Linked DNA regions of Arabidopsis thaliana. The protein of the gene in region 2 interacts with the protein of the main gene of each other region in a pairwise test. Each region holds a gene or a part of one and is shown on either strand. Other genes may lie near its edges. The genes, in order: PARVUS and AT5G26790.

Region 1 (10,483 bases), on a different chromosome or scaffold from region 2:
AGCAAGAGGTCTATTGACTGATACGATAACATTAAATGTAATGATCAGTGGGCTGTGTAAAATGGAGAAGGTCAATGAAGCCAAAGAGATTCTAGATAATGTGAACATTTTCAGATGTAAGCCAGCTGTGCAAACATATCAAGCGTTGAGCCATGGGTATTATAAAGTCGGAAATTTGAAAGAAGCCTTTGCGGTTAAAGAGTATATGGAAAGGAAAGGAATCTTCCCCACCATAGAGATGTATAACACTCTGATATCTGGTGCTTTCAAATATAGACACTTGAATAAAGTAGCGGATCTTGTGATCGAGCTACGCGCAAGAGGATTAACTCCTACTGTTGCTACATATGGTGCTCTCATCACCGGCTGGTGCAATATTGGAATGATAGATAAAGCCTACGCTACATGTTTCGAAATGATAGAGAAAGGGATTACCTTAAATGTGAATATTTGCAGCAAGATTGCAAATAGTTTGTTTCGTCTTGATAAGATTGATGAGGCTTGTTTGCTATTGCAGAAGATTGTGGATTTTGATCTGCTTCTTCCCGGTTACCAGAGCTTGAAAGAGTTTCTTGAGGCCAGTGCTACGACGTGTCTTAAAACACAAAAAATCGCTGAGTCTGTCGAGAATAGCACCCCTAAGAAGCTCTTAGTTCCCAATAACATTGTTTACAATGTTGCTATCGCAGGTCTCTGTAAAGCTGGGAAACTCGAGGATGCTCGAAAACTCTTCTCGGATTTACTATCAAGTGATAGGTTTATTCCAGACGAATACACATACACGATCCTAATTCACGGATGTGCTATTGCTGGTGATATAAACAAAGCCTTTACCCTGAGGGATGAGATGGCTCTAAAAGGTATTATCCCGAACATTGTTACATACAACGCTTTGATAAAAGGCTTGTGCAAGTTGGGTAATGTAGATCGTGCTCAGAGGCTTTTACATAAGCTTCCACAGAAGGGCATAACTCCTAATGCTATTACCTATAACACATTAATTGATGGACTAGTTAAAAGTGGTAATGTTGCTGAAGCTATGCGTTTAAAAGAAAAAATGATTGAGAAAGGCTTGGTTAGAGGGTCCGATAAACAGGGGGATGTTGACATACCAAAGGAGGTGGTTTTGGATCCGGAAGTTAAATTGGGGAGCACAGGAGTGATCGAAATGAACTCAAATGAGCTTTATGATGTTAGGAGAGTTTCTGAAGCAGTAGTATGATGACGAATAACAAATCCTGACCTCTTGTAGAACTCTTTGAAAGATCACTTTGAGTCTTCAATGTTGCTATGATTGATGGGTAACATGAAAGGAGGCTACAACGAATCTCCTCCATTGATGTGGTATGATTGTATACTTCAAAGAAAACAGTGCCATTGTCTCAAGATCATTTGGAAATTGTGATCCTTCTACCAAACAATCCATCACTTGGCTTCAAATTTATCGGCCTTCTCTTCTGATCCTTGATGTTTTAAAGATACGAGACATCACATTCATGGAGCCTGAAATTTCGAGCGGCCTCAGGTAAGCACACATTACACTTGTTCATGCTCCTCTTAGTTCAATCAAGTTTGACAAACTATAGTTTTTAGGATATAAGACAAAACTAAGAATGATAATTGTCTTTTGTCAGGTTTATATAGTAAAGGCCAAACGATCGATATTAGTCACTGGTCTTTTTGATAAGCTGATCAACCGATCAAACCAGTAAGCTCCCCATCTCACGGTTGTTCTTGTACCTTCCAAAGCCAGATAAGACTCTGTGATCAGATATGTACCATATATAATGTTCAATGTAATAAATGAGATCTTGATTAAATAAGTAAAGTTGCTTCAGATCAACACAAGCTATTGATTTAAATTGACGAGCCACCTCTTTTTCCTTTTTAGAATGTGAACAACCAAACCTACCTTTGATTGTGTGTGCTATCTGCCGAACCGGAGAGCTTATTCCGGTCTGTCTCGGTTTCATTGTACTTACTTCGGTTTGTTTGAGACACGGTGGGTCCATTGTCGATACCATTGTCACATGCGCAGAAAGCTCAGAAGTCACTCAGCTTGAGAAAAATATTCAAAACTAAAATTATTAAAGCTAACAAATTTTGCATTTTGATTTATTTATATAAAAGAAAAATTTAAGAATAAAGTTAACAAATGAATATGTAGTGTATATAGAAAAATTATTTACACAACACTCCACTTGTTCCTAAATATCCAAGTTTTAGAAAGAAAGAAAATGTTTCAAAAAGATACATTTTGCTAGGTTTTCTAAGCATTGGTAGTTAGTTATGGATGATAAATTGTAGACTACAAGACAAACAATAGAATGGTTTAGAGTTTTAAAAAATTGTTTATCACAAAAAAAAATGGATGTATTTAATATCAACCTGTTACAAATTGGATTAATCTGGAATAGAGTGAGTATATATTACTTTTGATAGAGAACAATATTGTTAAATGGTAACACTTGTAGAAAACTTAGCATAATCTGCCACTTAGTGGAATATCTTTTACCATCAAAATGCGAAAGATATTTACTCCTAATTTTTCTTTATACTACATATATCCTAGTGGATTTGGAGGAAAATTAATTTTTTAAGAGATTACGAGGAGGTGAAAAAGAAATGTAGAGTGAATTGTTTCTTTAAAAAGGTAACAAAAAAATATAATGAAAAATGAAAAGAGTCTCAAAGGTCAAAACTGTAGTGACTGTACATAAATGTTTGATGGGACATTGCTCGTGCTTTTCCTTTCTTTCGCTCGGACCACCGACACTCTGTCTCCAATTATTTCCTAAAACTTTAATCTAATGACTTAATTTCGTCGACTTTCTAATTAATCAATTAACATTATGGATCTAATATGATTCAAACAAGCACGTCGCTGGTGACTCTGAATTTCTTTGTTACTTGGTTTATTGCTATTTCTTCAAGCATATATGTTTTCTCACAACGTTACGAATTACTTGTAATATGTTTTTCTGCAAGAACATGTCTTTCCTCGAGATATTTTACGTTACTATTTGCAAAATTATTTGCTACTATCCACGGATCCACCCATAAGAGTGATCTCATGGAAATATACGTGGAAAGGAGCTTTTATTATGGTTTGGTACTTTGGTTTTCTATGAGTTCGGTATCTTCATAAGACCAAAAAATGAAATAGCGAAAGTTAAGACACGTGATGTTGTTGTAAAGAGGGATGATGGAAATTAGAAAATGAGGCAACACATGTGCTCTTCAACCTACGAACCATCTACACATAGCTAGAATCCGACAATGGACATAATGTACCTTCATTCACAATTATAGATTCTTATGTTTGGCAATTTAAATTCGGTTTCTAAAGTTCCATTTGTTCCATTCCCCATATGCACAACGCAAATGCAGCGTTTCCAGCTCTAAATGCAAGATAATTCCCATTTAATAGTATTTGATAAAATTACACTTTTATAGAAAATGTTAAAAATTTAGCCATTTTGATCATTCTTTTGGTCACTTGAGAGTATTTTTTTTTTTGTATATTCTCTTCTATACTCCAAAACAAAACCAATGAAAACAACAACGAACAAAAGCAAAAAGCAAAATGTTTTTTTTCTTCTTCGGTTGTATGATTTACGAATCGATGTACAGTAAAAACAAAAATTCACCTGTATATTGTATATATGTATGTACCGGTATTAATAATAAGTAAACCGATCGAGACTGGTCAAGAATCCAACGCGAACGGCGTTTGAAGAAGATCATACGGAGCCCAAAGCGCGTCTAAAGGACAAGGCCGACCAGCATCAAGCCTAGCCCATGGCTTACCTTTCCCACTCCAATGCAACAGACTCACCGGACCAGGATGGAGATCTCTACACAGTCCTCTGAAATTATCACCTCCTAAACCGTGTTGGTTCCACCGATGATTAACCGGTTTAATCAAACCGGCAAAAACCAATAAAAACGGTGGTAACGAACCAAGCTCGTAAATTCTCATTCTCTTTTGCATCGCCATCCACTCTTCGATGCGTGACGTGTACGCGCCTTCGCGCCACCGGGAAAGATCGATCACCATGACTCCAGTGTTGAAGTAGCATGCTTTCCGATCGGCGAAGGTTAAAGAGAGAGTCGGATTAGACCAGAAGGTTGATGTGAAGTATGAAGTGAAATTGGCGTTGCAGTATTCCGGCGCGGCGAGGACTGAATCACGGCCGAGATCTGTGGCGGCGAGTTTTGCTATGTCGTCGACGAGGATCAGATCGGAGTCTAGGTAGACGACGCGGCGGACGCAGGGAGGGAGGAGATCGGCGAGGTAGCTTCTTGCGTAGTTTAAAGGACAGTCTAGTGCGGAGCGGATAGAGGAGGAGATAAGGCGAGAGACGGAGGAGACGTTGAAGACGTAGACGGTGAAATCAAGGTAAGGGAAAGAGGAGGATATGGTGGCTCGTAAGGAAGAAGCGTCGGCGGAAGCAGAGGCGACGAAGTGGAAAACAATGTTTTCAGGACAAGAAGAGTGTTGGAGGACGGAGAGAACAGCGGCGACTGAGCCACGAATGTAGGCGGCGTCGAGTGTCATCGCCACGTGGACAGCTCGACGTGAGCAGAAGATTGGTTTGGCGACCACGTCATCGTCGGACTCGGAGTCATCGATTAAGGGGCAATCTGCAGAATTGTAAAACTGTGGGGCTTCTTTGAATTTTTGAATAATTGTAGTGGCGGAAATGGGTTTATGAAGAAGAAGTAGCGAGAGGAGAATGAGAAGAAGAAGATGTTGGGACATGGTTTCTTTCTTCTTCGTCGACTCTCTGGTTGTATTGGAAGGTTTTGTTTCTCTCAAACTGAGAACAAGAAGAGAAGAGCTGTCTCTAAACACTTTTTATCATGTGTGTGTGTAAGAGAGAGGAAAATTAAAAAAATGGTTTTGCTTAGATTTTGGGTTTCTCTCATTAAAAAATATTTATATATTGATTAGATTCCAAGCCCTTTTCATGATTTTTAAATTTAAATCTTGAAAACTGAAAATCATATTATTGCGTCAGGTAACAAAAAAATGGTCAAATTATTTACTGAATTTTTCGACTTAAATGTGTTGTTTTATCGAATGCAGAAATGTGGGAATTTATTGTATCCACATGATTACCGAAAATCAGTGTAGATCCACGTTATAGGCTATATAATGTATATTAAATGGGTGATTACATTATTTATTAATGAGATTTGAGTTTTTATAATTTCCGTTTGTATTTTTTTCTTACTAAAAATGCACAAAATTAAAAGAGACATGGAAGTTGATATATGAGATTGATAAGTACTTATCAAAAACAAATTCACACACGTAATATCGCTATGTTTGTCTGTGCATACAGTACAAACAAATAGTTTTTAGAATTCGAATTTCTCGGATAGATATATCTCGAGAAATTATTGAAAATTATGTGGCTAGTACTTAGTACGATTCACAGTTGCAGAAGAATAGGGGGGAAGATATAGAAACGTGAAATGAATGTTTTGAGAATAATTTAACGAGCTGTTCAAAAGAATGAAATATAATTATATACATGACTTGGTCAATAATTCTTATGGTTGAGATGTTATGTTTAGCTTCAAGCTTTATAGTAAATCTATTCATTTTTGCTATAAGTTTTTTAGTTTTTTCTTTGAAGTTTCTATTATGGTCCTTTGTCACTTTCCATGACTACGAAATTTATTGGTGAAATGAAATACAATAAATAAATAAATTGGATCCATTTGAAAATTCGTATTATAACGCCTATTTGCATTTTACATATTTCTGCCACACTTGTTTTTTTTTTTGGCTTATTGGTTATAGTCTTTTTATTTTATTTTTAAATGTTAGTCTTTTATTTTCAATGATTGAATTTTCTTTTCTTTTTTCCTAAGAAACTTTTTTTGGATCATGGGGAATGGGCACATCAGCACATGGTCAGGAAGTGGGTTTCCCTTTTTCTTTTGCTGACGAATTTCTAATTACCTAATAATTGTAATAATTTGAAACGAAAATGTATACCTATCATATATATTTATTAGAGAGATTTAATTTTGGTTTTGACCGACCACAACTTACAATTATGAACTACCATCGTTTAAATAAAAAAACGTTGGCTGTAAAAAAAAAAAAAGTTGAAGAATGTAGCAATTTTCATCTCATGAACTTGTTCAGAGTTTCAATGTTTCAGAAATTTTACTTTTAGTGTCTCATTGCGGAAGAAGTTCTTTCATTTCCAATTAGGAGTACAAATAAGCAAGCCCTTTCCAAAGAATGCATTTTGAGTTCATAGTATTAAGCACATTTGCTCGTTTTGTTAGTACTGATGGTTATTATGTTGAATAATCAAAACTAAAAACTAAACTAATAAAAATTAAAATATTAGAAAAGTTTTCCATTATACAATAGTACTAATAAACACTCATAAAGATAAACGTAGAAAAGCAAGACGCGTGGGCCAAACGTGAAATGGAATAATATCTCAAATCCTAATGGTACGACTTTTCTTTCATCACCAAATGTGAATTCGTGAGTACTTTTGTGTTAAAGTCTTGTAGAATTTATACCATGTCATTTTTGTTTTTGTTTTTTTGCATACTTTTTTTTATAATTTTGTTAGTTTTCTTTTTACTTCAAATAATTTCCTTTCATTATGTAAAACACCCGCGATTAAGACAACTCCTTGCAATACACCATATAAAGATACTCCAAAAAGAAATACATACAAAGATATATACCATATAGAGTTTTTCAAGAAAAAATATCCACATATCGGAAAATGTTAAACCAATTATGTTCATGGCCATAATAAAACATAATATACGTAAAAATAAAAGGTTCAACGTAATTTTATGATTAGCCTCCACTTTACATATATTCATCAATAGTCATACAAATCCTCAAATTAAACAACCGCTAAACAATAGGTCAATAAAACCATTGTGCAAGGATCTATCTTGAATTTCAGCCCTCCAACCATTACTTAGGTAACCGGTTAGAACGTTTTATTTAATTGGTAACCAAGTAACGGTTACAAGAACCTACATTTATATTCACCAACTTACCAATCAAATCTTACTTGCACAATGTTTTTCATATGTTGCATACTTGCATTGAGTAAAAATTTAGAAATATACAGTTACCAGAAAAATATTAAGTTAAGAAGCCAACTTGATTTGTTGGGCCATCGTTTTATCTTGAAAACCCCTTCACTTATATCCTAAGGGAATTGGGTGCTCACAAAAAAAAAAAAAAAGGTTCGAAGGAATTGTGTGCTGAGACTTAAAGCATTGTGAGAATGCGAGGTTTCCTTCTTCTTTTTACTTTCATATATTTAAACTCATTTCATTTTATCATTATAATTCTCACAATATGACTATATATGAATTGTATATTTAGCGACCAACATATATAGCTCATTTTATTCCGGTGGAAAATCATGAAACTTTGAAAAAATATGATCGATGAAGCCATGAAGGCATATGGCTTCAGCCTTTTGATGACACATTAAATAAAATATAGAAACGAACGTAATACTAGTATTAAATAAGCATGTTGCATGTGTCATGTGTGCATGAAGGGAGGGTTATTATTATTAATACATGTTCATGAGTGTATGCACATAAATGGATAATTTTAATTAGAAACAGATGAAGTGGAGATTATTGCATCTGTGTGTGTGAACTCTCTGAGAAACAAATTAAAAAATTACAATGGGTCTCATTGTCTCAAAGGTAGATTTCGAATAAGCATGTATGGTCTACACTACACATTCACTTCCATGAGTCCAAAAAGCCATAACTTTAGTCTTCTTCTGAAATAGTTGCTTCCTAATAATTTAAAAAATATTGGATGCATTGGCTGCACGTGACTTCAAAATATTTGTATGTATATTTTGAAAAGAGATATAGAACAAAACTTGGACAAAACTACAATACTAGTACGAAAAATAAAGACACTGCACATCTAAACACAAACAATCATATTGCGTTTATATGTTCACCGTTGTTAGTTAATGTTTTTAGTAAGAAAACTAAAAGTAAGTAAAATTAGGTATATCCTAAAATATTTATTTTAGAAAAATATATAATGTGAACGGTCTAAACATTTGTGAGTTTTAATATAATTATGACGATTGAAAGTATCAAATAAAAAGTATTTGAGGCAAATAATTCTTCTGGTATCTAACCACACCTACACCTTACAAGTAATAGGGAGCAGCATCTTATGTCATGTCTTCGAAAGCTATGAACACTAAAAAATGTTTAGTTGCTGAAAAAATTTCACCAAAAAGGGAAGAAGAGTTCAAAGTATACTTAGACTCCCTTAACGAACAAACTAAACAAACATTTTTGCAGGCAATGAGACACTATCAATACAATAAGAGGCTCCCAAAACGTGTTTGCAGATAAACACAAGTAAAAGATCCGAAGGAGCCAACAACATGATGATGAATAATAATCGTATCCAACATTATGGGAATAATTAAACAACATAAGTATTGAGTGAAGACTCGCAAGTCAAATCCTTAAGAAATATCAGTAAGAGAATCCGACAGGTTTTATTAATATATGAACAATTTGCTAAAGTAGCAGTTTACAAGCCAACTCACAGCACATATTTTCCCATGTTTTTATGCAATAAAATCTAGAATAAAAAGCGAAATACAGTTAGCTAAATCGATTTCCTCACTAGCTCAAGAAGAGAGAAAACACAACAACGACGAAAACAATGAGTAACAATATCCTCAAGTGATGGTCTTGTTGTCCTTGTCGACCCGTGTGCCGCTGGTAACTATGCATATGCGAGTGTCCTCCATGAAACGGATTCGAGAAACCGTGAGGGAAGCCGCCAGAAGCAGCAGCTCCATACATGGCTGCATCAGGGAAACCATGGAAATGGAGGTTGAACAAAGAAGGAATCAAACCGCCAAACGCTGCAGACAATGTAACATTCCCGAACCGCGCACTCGCCATCGGAGCAGCAAAACCTCCCATGAACCCTCCAAACCCATGATGATGAGCAAAACCATGGTTAGGATCAGGAGGTTGTGCAGTTTCGGGTCTCTGTCCCGATGGACGGTTAGGCACTTCGAGACCCGGAATGGACTTGGACCGAGGGTCAGCAGACGATTTACCTCTACCGTACAAAGGAACCAATCTGTCTTCTTCGATCACGGCTTTGCAAACAGGACAGTCCTTAGATTGAGAATGGAGATGGAGCCATTTGTATAAACAAGGCCAACAGAACAAGTGACCACAGAGAGTGACAATAGGATCTTGAGCCAAGTCTAAGCAGATGTTACATTCGAAGTTACTCGAATCATTGTTGTTTGTATCATTACCGCTAGAACAAGAAGGGACATCAGACATGATTCACCACAAAACCTCTGCTTTTAATCTCCGACACTGGATTATCACAAGCACCATATAAATTAGCACAAATAAACACAGAGGATTAAATCAACTAATCAACAACTCTCATTGACCAAAATGAAATTAGTGATTCCAAATTTTCTAATTTGCTTGAATTTGTCACGATTCAATAATCATTAATGGATCATTCAGCTTTAATAATATACATTAAAAAATCCAAAAAAAAAAGAGAGAAGTAATTCAAACAATCAAAACGGAATCATAAACCTCTAGATCTCTCCGATAAACCACTAAAATCACCGATCATATATTCCCGTGAATAAAATAACTAACTTATCTCCAATCGTACAAAATCATAAACAGAAACGGAAAACGAGAAACAAAAAAATCAAGCAAAAGAGTTGGAACAATCCGAAATATAAATTTACCGATTAGAGATTTAGATCGGGCGATGAAGGGATCGACGGAACGATCGCAATCCGCAAAGGAACACCGTTCGCTTAAGGGTTAAGGTTGGCCGGAGGAGACAAGTTTCATCGAGAGAAAGATATTTTCAGAATATTAATATTTGTATTAAACCTGTTTTGTTTTATTTAATTACCCGCGAATTGACGTGTCTTTTGGACTGGTCCCCCAATTCCACGTGGGAACATGTGTGCACGTGACGGAGAACTAGTGGCTGTTTCAAGTCAACAATATCGTCTTAACCGTTGGATTGGTTGATAACGAGAGATAATGTAACAACTAACAAATCTAATGGATGTTGATGAATATAAATAATAGTATCAACGTACGACTTTAATGGCGGTCAAAATGTGACATTGAGACGGTTTCATTAAGTCAGTTTCAGTGCCAGCCAGATTCGACCCGACTCGGTACGGATACTTGCTCGACGATTTATCATTCGTTTATCGACTAATCCAACGTTTACTACTCCTTATTCTTCGTTTGTTTTTAATGTTCTTCATGAACTTAATTATTGAGACAAAGTGAGGAAAATATGGAGAGTGTGCTTTTGTTCATGAACATGTTCTGATTTGGTCGGTGATAAATCTTCTGTATCAAGAAGATGTTTACATTAACTTTTCAAATGACAACATATGCGAGAAACAAAACA
Region 2 (9,834 bases):
TAACAATTAGGCTATTTGGCATGGTCATTTTCAAAGTAGAGTTGAGATGTAATTTAATCCATGTTCACTCATACCAAAAATATATATAAAGTAAAAAAAAAACTGCATAAATATTGTTTCGAAAGTGCATTATATATTACAGTTTTCATTCAAGCAAAAATATTTATAAGTTTGTAAATTATATATGTTTAAGAATATAAATTCATATCCGTTTAACTATTATTTGACTTATGATGTGTAGAGTGTAGACGATAAATTGTTTCAGTCAACTATCTTCTGATGCTTCGTATCATTGAAGGACATACAACACAATACTCCCATACAGAATCAAAGATGATTATCCCTAAAACCCAAAATATAAGAAAACAAAAGTTTCATAATTTATTCTGATCCCCCCCCCCCCCCCCCCAAACCTAAATAATAATTTGAATCTTTAGATTCATTGTCTTCCATCTAACACAGAGAAACAAAACATGCAGGCCTCAAAATCCCAATACATACCAACCACCATGCCAACCACAAGCCTCCTCCTCTTCACAAATTCTTCGATCCAAGATTCACGCAATGCAAAATTATTTTCGCATGGATGCTTCCACAATTTACCTTGATGGATAGTGTTTGTGTCGAGATCTTTTACCAATATATTGGTCTCACAACTCATAAATTTTGTGCGATATATGTCTTCTTCTGAAGCATGTCTAAGCATGGTATCTCGGATTTTTTCCATTGGAAGTTGGAACTTACTTATGATTTCATCGGTTGTTAGAGTTTTGATGATTTCCCAAGGGAAATAAGCTATGGGTCGAATCTCGATCTCTTGAGGAAATAGAGGATAATTAGGATCTCTTGAGTTGTTGCTTTCTTCTTGGTGTTTCGTTTGAAGGAAAGTGTAGAACAATGATTTTATCATGTTTGGAGGTATTAGAAGAGAAAACTTATGATAACTTCGATTGGGAGGAGTTTTGAGTCTTATATAAGATGGATCAAATACTTGTCCATGCAAAAAAAAGTTATATAATTTATAAAATATATATATATAAAGTTATAAAATTTCTCCTATATTTTACAAAATACGTTTTTTTCTTTTTGACAGAAAAATACTTTTTATATACAGTAAATAAAAATATATATATTAATGTTTTATGATTGCCTTCCATTTTATTTTATGTTTACACTTTAGACCAATTGTCATGAGTTCATTTGAAAGAAAATACATTATTAATTTTCAGAATAATAGGAACATTGCTATACTACCACTTACATTCAAACCCAATAAAGTACATATAAAAACTTAAATTCGAGATTTATTTAATTATTCTAACCATTACAAGCTGCTTGATTTTTGTCTTTTTGAAAATACAAGCTTGTAGAATGAACTCGAGTCAAATTACAAGACTCAACATATATTTTCTTAGACTACCACGTACATATATGTGATAGATCAGAATCGAAAAATCTCAAAAACTAATTCGAAATATTGATAAGTTGGTAGTACAAAATATTGATACCCAAAAACTTGTAGATGGTCTCTCGGTTGGGCGTAAGACTCAAAAAAATAAATTTAGCAAATGGTTAAGCTCACACTGAACTTTTTAACTCTTTTTTTTAACAGTAGCAAATTAGTAAATACCTATCTTAAACCCAGTCCGACTAGAGTCTTTTGGTCATACCAAATTTTTGTAGCCAATGGAAAAAGATATATTTTACTATAATCAATTGATTTCCAAAATTTTGTGAACAAACGGATTCCCACAAGACCGATACATTCAACACTTCAAAAGTTACTGCTCCAGGATGTGAACAGTCGCTTAATGTTTATAACCATGGAAAAAACAAGTACATGAATGCAAATTGGTACAATGTTTCAAGTGATTTGCAACATTGCTATGCCTAGATCATTCTGAGAACAACTCATTCCATTAGCATAACAAAGTATGAGAGGAACTTATGATTCGATGAGTACAGGAACCAATCACGCCTTTATTGCGTCAGCTCTAGGTTTCCATAGACCTAGCCTGTATTTGTGGCTATATTTCAGTATCAATTTCCTCTGCAAAACCAGAATTCAGAATTTTCAAAAGAAGATTGACCAAAATAGAGATATGAAGAATTGAGAGAACAAACCCAAACATGGTATTGTTCACAAAATCTATTAACAGCAACATGAAAGAAATAGATCGTCGTGAGTAACAGGAAGTGTGAACAAACCTACATTTCCATGACAACAAAATAGAACTATAGGTACATACATTTCAATCATTCTCTTTGTGCCTAAAAACTTATAGAACTCAAACTTTTTCTTCTTCTCTCATTGATCCTCTATAGTTACTTCACTAAACTACGTAATGGAACAAATTCAATAGTATTGTTCACCAAAACCTATTAACAGTAACACGAAAAGAAACATGTCTTGGTGAGTGACAGGAAGTGCGAACAAGCCTATATTTCATATTTGAATGATAACCAACAAGCTAAACTAACGTTCCAAGACCATTTCAATCAATCTCTTTGTGTCTAAAAAGTTAAAAGAACTCGACTTTTTCTTCTCTTTTACCTTAAATTCTATAGATACCTCACTAAAATACGCAATGGAACACATTTTAAAGTAACATATTAAAACCTGTGAACCTAACTAACCCACTTTTCTGCAACAACAATATAACCAAATGCACATTGAAATCTATGTAACTTACACAGAACAATAAAGACTTGGAAACTTACATGTTTGCAAGGAATACCAAACTTCTTGAGTCTAAGCGTACGAGTCACGAGCAATTTCGGAAGATCGCCTAACTCGGTTTCAAGCTTAGCAATATGAGTCTCAACTCCTCCACCAATCCACTCAAAAACTCAGGAATTCCAACTTTCACTACAAAAAAATCTCAAAGTAGCAATCAAAAACCATTCACAACATCTCAATAGTTAGTCTTCCCTAAATACTTGCAAACTTTGAATAACAATAACGATCACTGAAACTGAATCTACTCAGACGAGAAGACCAATCATGAATCTCCACACAAATGAAACTTGCAACAACCCTAAGGTAACGAATCAGCCAATACACGCAAGTTTAGCATCCGCATTTCTCCGACGCAAAATCTGAACAAATAAAAACGGTTTACCGTGATAAGGAGCGGCGGATTTGGAGTAGAATCTATGGAAGTTAAGAGTCGAAGACGCTGGTGCTGTCGTAAGAACAGATCTCGCGCTCTGTATCAGTCGCATCCACGCCATTATCGGAGCTTTTCCTCGGGCGAGATAGAGATAGAGAGAGAGATTTTGGGTTTTTGGGTTTCTCTGATGGGAGTTCCTTACTACGACGTCGTTTTCTGAAATAAGCTCATCGATTGTTTATTAAACGGCTAAGCCCATTACATCTTTGGCCCATTAGCCTAAACCTTTTTTTATCACGTTCCCTTGCAAAAAAAAATGTAACAAAGATTTGTGGGTTTAGGGTTTTGTCCTTGACACTGTAGTTGAGCTATGGGTATGCCGTATGTGTATGTCTAAAGCTCAGACTATTTTTTTTCCAATGGAAGAAAAAGTCGTCAAATACGACGAGAAGAGGAAGAAATAGACGATTTGGTTTCGGCAAAGATTCCTTTGGATCTCATGATCGAGATTCCAATTAGATTGCCTGCTAAATCACTGATGAAGTTCAAGTGTGTCTCTAAGCTCTGAGTTTCTCTTATCCATTCTCGATATTTAACCAACCTTTATCTTACGGTCGCATCTCCACCACAACAACCTCATCGTGTAGACATACGTTTCGTAAACGAGTACCTGGGTAGTTCTGTAATGCTATCATTATCATTATCGTCTAGTAAGGACCACGGTTTGGTTATCCCAAGGATTGGAGGAGGAAACGACATAGTTTGTCATCGCGGCTTGATTTTATACAATCTATACGGAAAAGCGTGCATCTATAATCCTACCACTAGTCATCGCGGCTTATTTCACTCTGATGGATAGTGTAAGCATCATGCACTTGGAAACTTGAATGCCATTACTTTTTTTTCTTCTTTTTTGTGTTGTTAAAGATTATCAACATTATCTTTATTTGTTTTTGCCTTTTAATAATACAATGAAACTATTCATCTATAATTTAATAACTTTTAGTTATGTTCCAAACCTACAAGACCAGATATACGTATTCTATCTAGGCATGTCACTATGGCTAAATCGGTCCTAATCCATGACATGTCTCCGAAGCAAAATCTAACAAAGTAATTACAAGTGAAAACATTTGTTTTTTTTTTAAAGACTAAGAGATTCTGTACCTAGGTCCGTGAAAAAGACAAGTGAAAACAATCTACCGGAATAAAAAGTTGGTTTAGAGTAATCTCTAGTAAGGTTTAGAGTTAAAGATAGTGGTGCTATCTTTAGAACTGATTTCGCGTTCTGCTTCAGTCGTGTCCACACCATTATCAGAGCTTCTTCTTCACAAATCTTCCTTGTTAGAATTAACCTCAGCGAAACTTTTTGGTGCTTTTGAGTTTATTGACTCCCTCCCATAAGTCCCTTAGTAAAAGTGAGAGTAACCTATAAGCTCATTGATTGTTCATGTAAACGAACCAGCCCATTAGCAGGCCCAAATAAAAAATTCTACATTTTGAAAAATCCAAAATCAATCGCCTGAATAAGTCATGTATTTTCTAGCTTGGTTCTATAACTTTAGGTTGCTAAGTAAAAACATATTCAAAAATCGTTGAAAAATCAGAATATGAAGATTAAAATTTCCAAAAGCATTTTCAATTTAACTATGTAATATCCGTTTTCAAAATCCCATTACGATTTCGATTTTACAGCTTTCTTAATATAGAAACCATAGGTTTTTGTTTTTTCTGGTTCACAAGATTCGAACCTAACATAACATAATCATCCTTCAAAAGAAACCAAAACTAAACACAAATGATCATAACTCTCGAGTGAGCATCACGCGCCTCCTTTTGAATCACTAACATAAATTTCTCCGCCACTACCACACGGTGACGCAGCTAAAAATTAAAAAGAAAAAAAAACAATTCAAAACTTTCCGGTGATAAAACACCGTTCACAAAAAAATACAAAAAATCTTAACGAGATTAAGTAAAATCAAAACTAGACGGTGCAGCCACAAAAGAGGAAGAAGAAACAGAGCATGGAGACCAAGGCCACCGACTCGAACGCCGTAACAACTTTCCACACAACGTCGTCGACCACCACAGACAATAAACTCAGCTCCGGTCGACGCCAACTCAGCCACCTTGGTACAGATCCAGATGAAGTGAAATGGATCGGCCACCACCAGCGGATAGATGACGGCATTGAAGTGGATTCTAGTGTGTGTGTGTAAGATTCTACTAGTGTCGAATTAGTGTGTACCTGGCTAATTGTGGAAAAAAGGTAAAGCTTTTATGGCGGAAATGATGGGCATGAGAGGATTGATGTGGTCCATGCGAGTTTACAGATGTGTTTTTGATGTGTTGGATGTTTTTAAAATTAACGGTGATGGTTTAATTTAGTCATGTTACATTTTCGAGATGTGCAGCTGTGATTGGATATATTGGGATCTGTTTTTGGTTCTTTTTCAACTTTTATAGTAGTATTTGTTTTTTGAAAAGAGAAGGAGAATGAATAGTTGTTTCCTCCTCCATCATTGTGGTCAATGTGGCAGGTTGAAATATTTTTAAAAAATTTAAACCAAGTTGAGTTAAAATAAAAAAAATTATTGACAAAAAATGCAAAGAAATCACCAAATTACAAAAAGAAAAGCAAGATTAACCTTGAATAAAAATATTGTACACCAAACCTCAATCATTTGAAAAAACGACAAGCCGTAATTTTTTCCGAACAAATCACAAATTCCGCAGTCCGGTGCGGTGAACCAAACAATGCGTTGCGGTTTCAATAGTAACTAAAATCTCTACATATATGTGTATGTATATATTTTTGTTCTTATTTGAACCGCACCGTACTCTATTCACAGTTGAACTGTATGTCTCTATTCGCAACAGAATGAAAAAATCAAACTTGAGGTTGGTTAGCTCTAAAAAAAACATATGTTTTTTTTTTGTTGAAGTATTTTAAAGCAAGTTAAATTTTTTTTAAAATAAAATAATATTAATAGTCGTTTTTTAATGAGAACAATACAAATGCGAGTTTAACCTCGAAAAACTGTAAAACAAACCTCAATCTTTTCAAAAAACGACAACAAAAACCTCTAATTTGTTTTATTGAACTTTGGACAGTTTTTTTCTTTATTGTACCTCAAATTTCACATTTAGGCCATTCTTGAAGCATGCTTAATTACAAAGTAGCATTGTTTATGTGAAAAAGCACGAGACATCTTATTTCAGAAACACTTCTGTTTACAATATCAATTATCAAAGCTGCATCGTTTATCCTATAACTTTAGTTGCCATTATCCATCATAGCAACCTTAAACCAGTTGCATTACAAATTTTGAATTTTGAGGAACCAACTTAAGGAAGCAAAGATAAAATTTGAGAGACAAAAGGAAAGGGTAAGAGACAACATTGGAGTGCGATTTTTTTAGTTCAACTTTAGTTTCAGCGATACTTCAGACCATCGGTTGCGCCTCTGGTCCATGATCACTGCAAACGGTTGCACAATCGCCCCATAATGAGTCCCTCCAAAATATTTCATAGAAGAAGCTTATGTATAATTAAGTGTTTTAGGTACCTAAAGCATCTCAGAGATGTGGAAACGTGTCAATCCACACGATGAAAACTACTCTTTGTATCTCATCGTCTCTTTCTCGAACCCAATCGTTGGGAATTGCTTAGCATATTCTTCTACCATCTCACGGAGCTTTGACATCTCTGACTGTAATTTCTCATTTGATTGCATTGTTGCTACAAAGTCTTTCAACTTTGTTCCTGCAGTACATTATAGATACATCAATACAATCCCAAGCATGACACAGAAAAAGTAAACCGAACCAAAAGACTTTTTATATATACCTTGAGACTCTGCTTTGATCTTTAAGGCTATCTTGACGGCTAAATCAAAATACTCCGCCACTTTTGCAAAATCTTCCTCAATGAATCCTCTTGATGTGAGGGCTGGTGTTCCTGTAACCATACCATCATCCATCATAAGAACAAATCGGAACATACACGATTTTCTTGGTGATCAACAGGTCTCTATGAATTAGCATAGAAGTCCTTTTTCATAAGTAGTAGATTGCAAGAAGCATGAACATTTAGCACTTTTCGACATACTAACACTTTACTTGTTTCAGTGTTCTTTTTTGTTCAAAAATAACATTAATGGTGGTAAATAGCAGACGTATGAATGTTTACTACTCTTTCGACATACTAACACATTACTTCTTTCAGAGTTTTTATAAGAGCCTTACCCATACGGATGCCACCGGGAACCATGGCAGAAACATCACCAGGAACAGTATTCTTGTTTGCTGCAATATGTACTAATTCTAATACTTTTTCCACTCTTGATCCATCTATTCCCTGCAAAACCCATTTTCCAACATCAAATATTTTACAAGAGTAAATTAGCTATTCTAAGCACTTCCTACTAAGGTTAACAGTACAAAAATTAAACATTTTACACTTGATTAGCTCCATCTGGTCAGTATGTCGTTAGTAAAAATTGAAACCACACAACATATATGGGAAAAAAATCATCATTGTTTTTAGTTTTATCATATTTCAAGAGTTAAGATTCTCTAATACCGATGAGATTCAGTCCTTTCATATGCAAACTCGTACATTTAAAGCAAACATTTCCATCTAGATATCAAAGGGTTTGAGCAATTAAAGATAGAATGAGAAGTACCTTGTTTTTCAGATTCACCAAAACTAAATGATTATCAGTGCCTCCAGACACTAAATCATATCCTTTCGCAAGCAAAGTCTGCATTGACAAGCCATATGAGATGATTACAGTAGGTCTTATATCCAACTGTTCCAAACATGACAAGATATCTAAGGCATATCAACTAATTACTCAAGTAAAAATACGACAATCAGCAAACACAACGCACCTCAGCAAACTTTGAGCAATTACGGAGAACTTGATCCTGGTAGGCCTTGTACTCAGGAGTTCTTGCCTATAATAGAACAAATCGATAAGTCAAAAGATCATGAACAAGAGTTACAAGACCAAGAGAATCCTAGAGTAGACCTTAATCAGAAAGTGAAAGGAGATCATGCGAACACATTAGACAATGGAACACAGTTTCAATAAAAGTTTGATGACTGAACCTGCTTCAGAGCAACTGCTAGACCCGTTATAGTGTGATTATGTGGACCACCTTGCAGTCCAGGAAAAACAGCTTGATTAATTCTGTCCTCATAGTCATACATGACCTATCAGGTAAAGTTACAAACGACATAAAATTAGTCAGTAACTGGAAGTTATTTACTCATTCATATACAATATAGAAACGAAAAATTCACCTCTTTCCCTTGTTTGTTAATCTCTTTTAACCCCTTCCTAAAGAATATCATAGCCCCTCTAGGACCGCGAAGCGATTTGTGAGTTGTAGTCGTAACAACATCTGCATACTCAAAAGGAGAAGGAATAACGCCAGCAGCAACCAACCCACTAATATGAGCCATATCAGCCAACATAACTGCCTTTTGCTTGTTACAGACCTGCAATTTTTTATGCATAACCTTGAAAACTGCAACTTTTGTAACTAAACTTCACACTCAAGAGTTGAGACAATACTTTACCTTACGAATACGTGCATAGTCATATAGACGAGCATAAGCACTTGCACCCGCAACAATAAGTTTCGGTCTGAAAAGCACGGCACTCTTTTCTAGCTGCAAATTATTGTATCACAAATAAATAAACTTTGGTTTAAAAACTGTTCAATTACTTAACATAAGAACCGTAAACGAAAAGCTTGTATGTATTAAACCCATATCTCAATGGTATATTGGATAAAGATAGAATGTTGAAGCATTAAGCTAAGCTGGCTATGAACTAACCAACCTGGTCATAATCAATGTAACCAGTGTTCTCATCCAATCTGTATGGCATTGTCTCAAAAAAGATGGATACAGCCGATATTTTCTTCGTGTCAGTCTGCACAAGAGCAAATAAAAGAAATGAGGAAAAGATACAATATCAATTCCACAAAGAGATGAGAAAAGAAAGTCAAATACTGACTGACCAAGCTAGAGAGACTAGAACCCAAGTACCTGATAACCATGAGAAAGATGTCCACCATGAGGTAAATCAAGTGCCATGATTCTTTCATGAGGCTTCAACAATGCAGTGTAAACTTGGAAATTAGCTGGTGATCCTGATAAAGACTGCACATTGACTACAAAATGAACAAGTGTCTCCATTAGTAAATTTGGTTTCTAGTAGGATTTCTTTAATCACAATTCACAACGAAAGTATGTAATTAGCACACCTCCCCATTTAGAAGGATCTAACTGAAAAGCTTCTAATGCGCGTTTTTGACATAATGTCTCAGCCATGTCAATGTACCTAGTCAATAAGATGCAAACAACCTTAAGCATCATATACTAACAACAAAGTAAACCATTGTAAGTATAACAAATACATACTCATTTCCTCCATAGTATCTAGCTCCAGGGTATCCTTCACTATACTTATTAGTCATAACAGAACCAACGGCTTGCATCACAGATAGAGAAGTGAAATTCTCTGACGGTATAAGTTCAAATCCCTGAAAAAACTCGTAACATCATCCCCCAAATCAATAAATCAAAGCTTCTATATATGTGAATTTGATCATTCTCACTAAATTTTGTTGATACCTTCCATTGTCTAGCCTTCTCTAATTCGATAATATCCGCAACTTCAGGATCGATTTCATCTAGAGAT

What was found.
Region 1: the proteins of AT5G26790 (region 2) and PARVUS interact in a protein complementation assay, tested with the Arabidopsis thaliana proteins (one large-scale study listed by BioGRID).

The regions. Positions count from the first base shown.
Region 1 is NC_003070.9:6,667,742-6,678,224, forward strand, and holds PARVUS (Nucleotide-diphospho-sugar transferases superfamily protein), read right to left. Parts: upstream 5,037-10,483; 5' UTR 4,766-5,036; coding exon 3,710-4,765; 3' UTR 3,354-3,709; downstream 1-3,353. Other genes in the region: AT1G19290 (Pentatricopeptide repeat (PPR) superfamily protein), read left to right, coding at 1-1,222; AT1G19310 (RING/U-box superfamily protein), read right to left, coding at 8,683-9,363.
Region 2 is NC_003076.8:9,418,624-9,428,457, reverse strand, and holds AT5G26790 (uncharacterized protein), read right to left. Parts: upstream 5,580-9,834; 5' UTR 5,308-5,579; coding exon 5,101-5,307; 3' UTR 4,759-5,100; downstream 1-4,758. Other genes in the region: AT5G26805 (B3 domain protein), read right to left, coding at 440-910; SHM2 (serine hydroxymethyltransferase 2), read right to left, coding at 6,733-6,881, 6,966-7,076, 7,364-7,475, 7,804-7,929, 8,012-8,077, 8,232-8,336, 8,427-8,624, 8,706-8,798 and 5 more.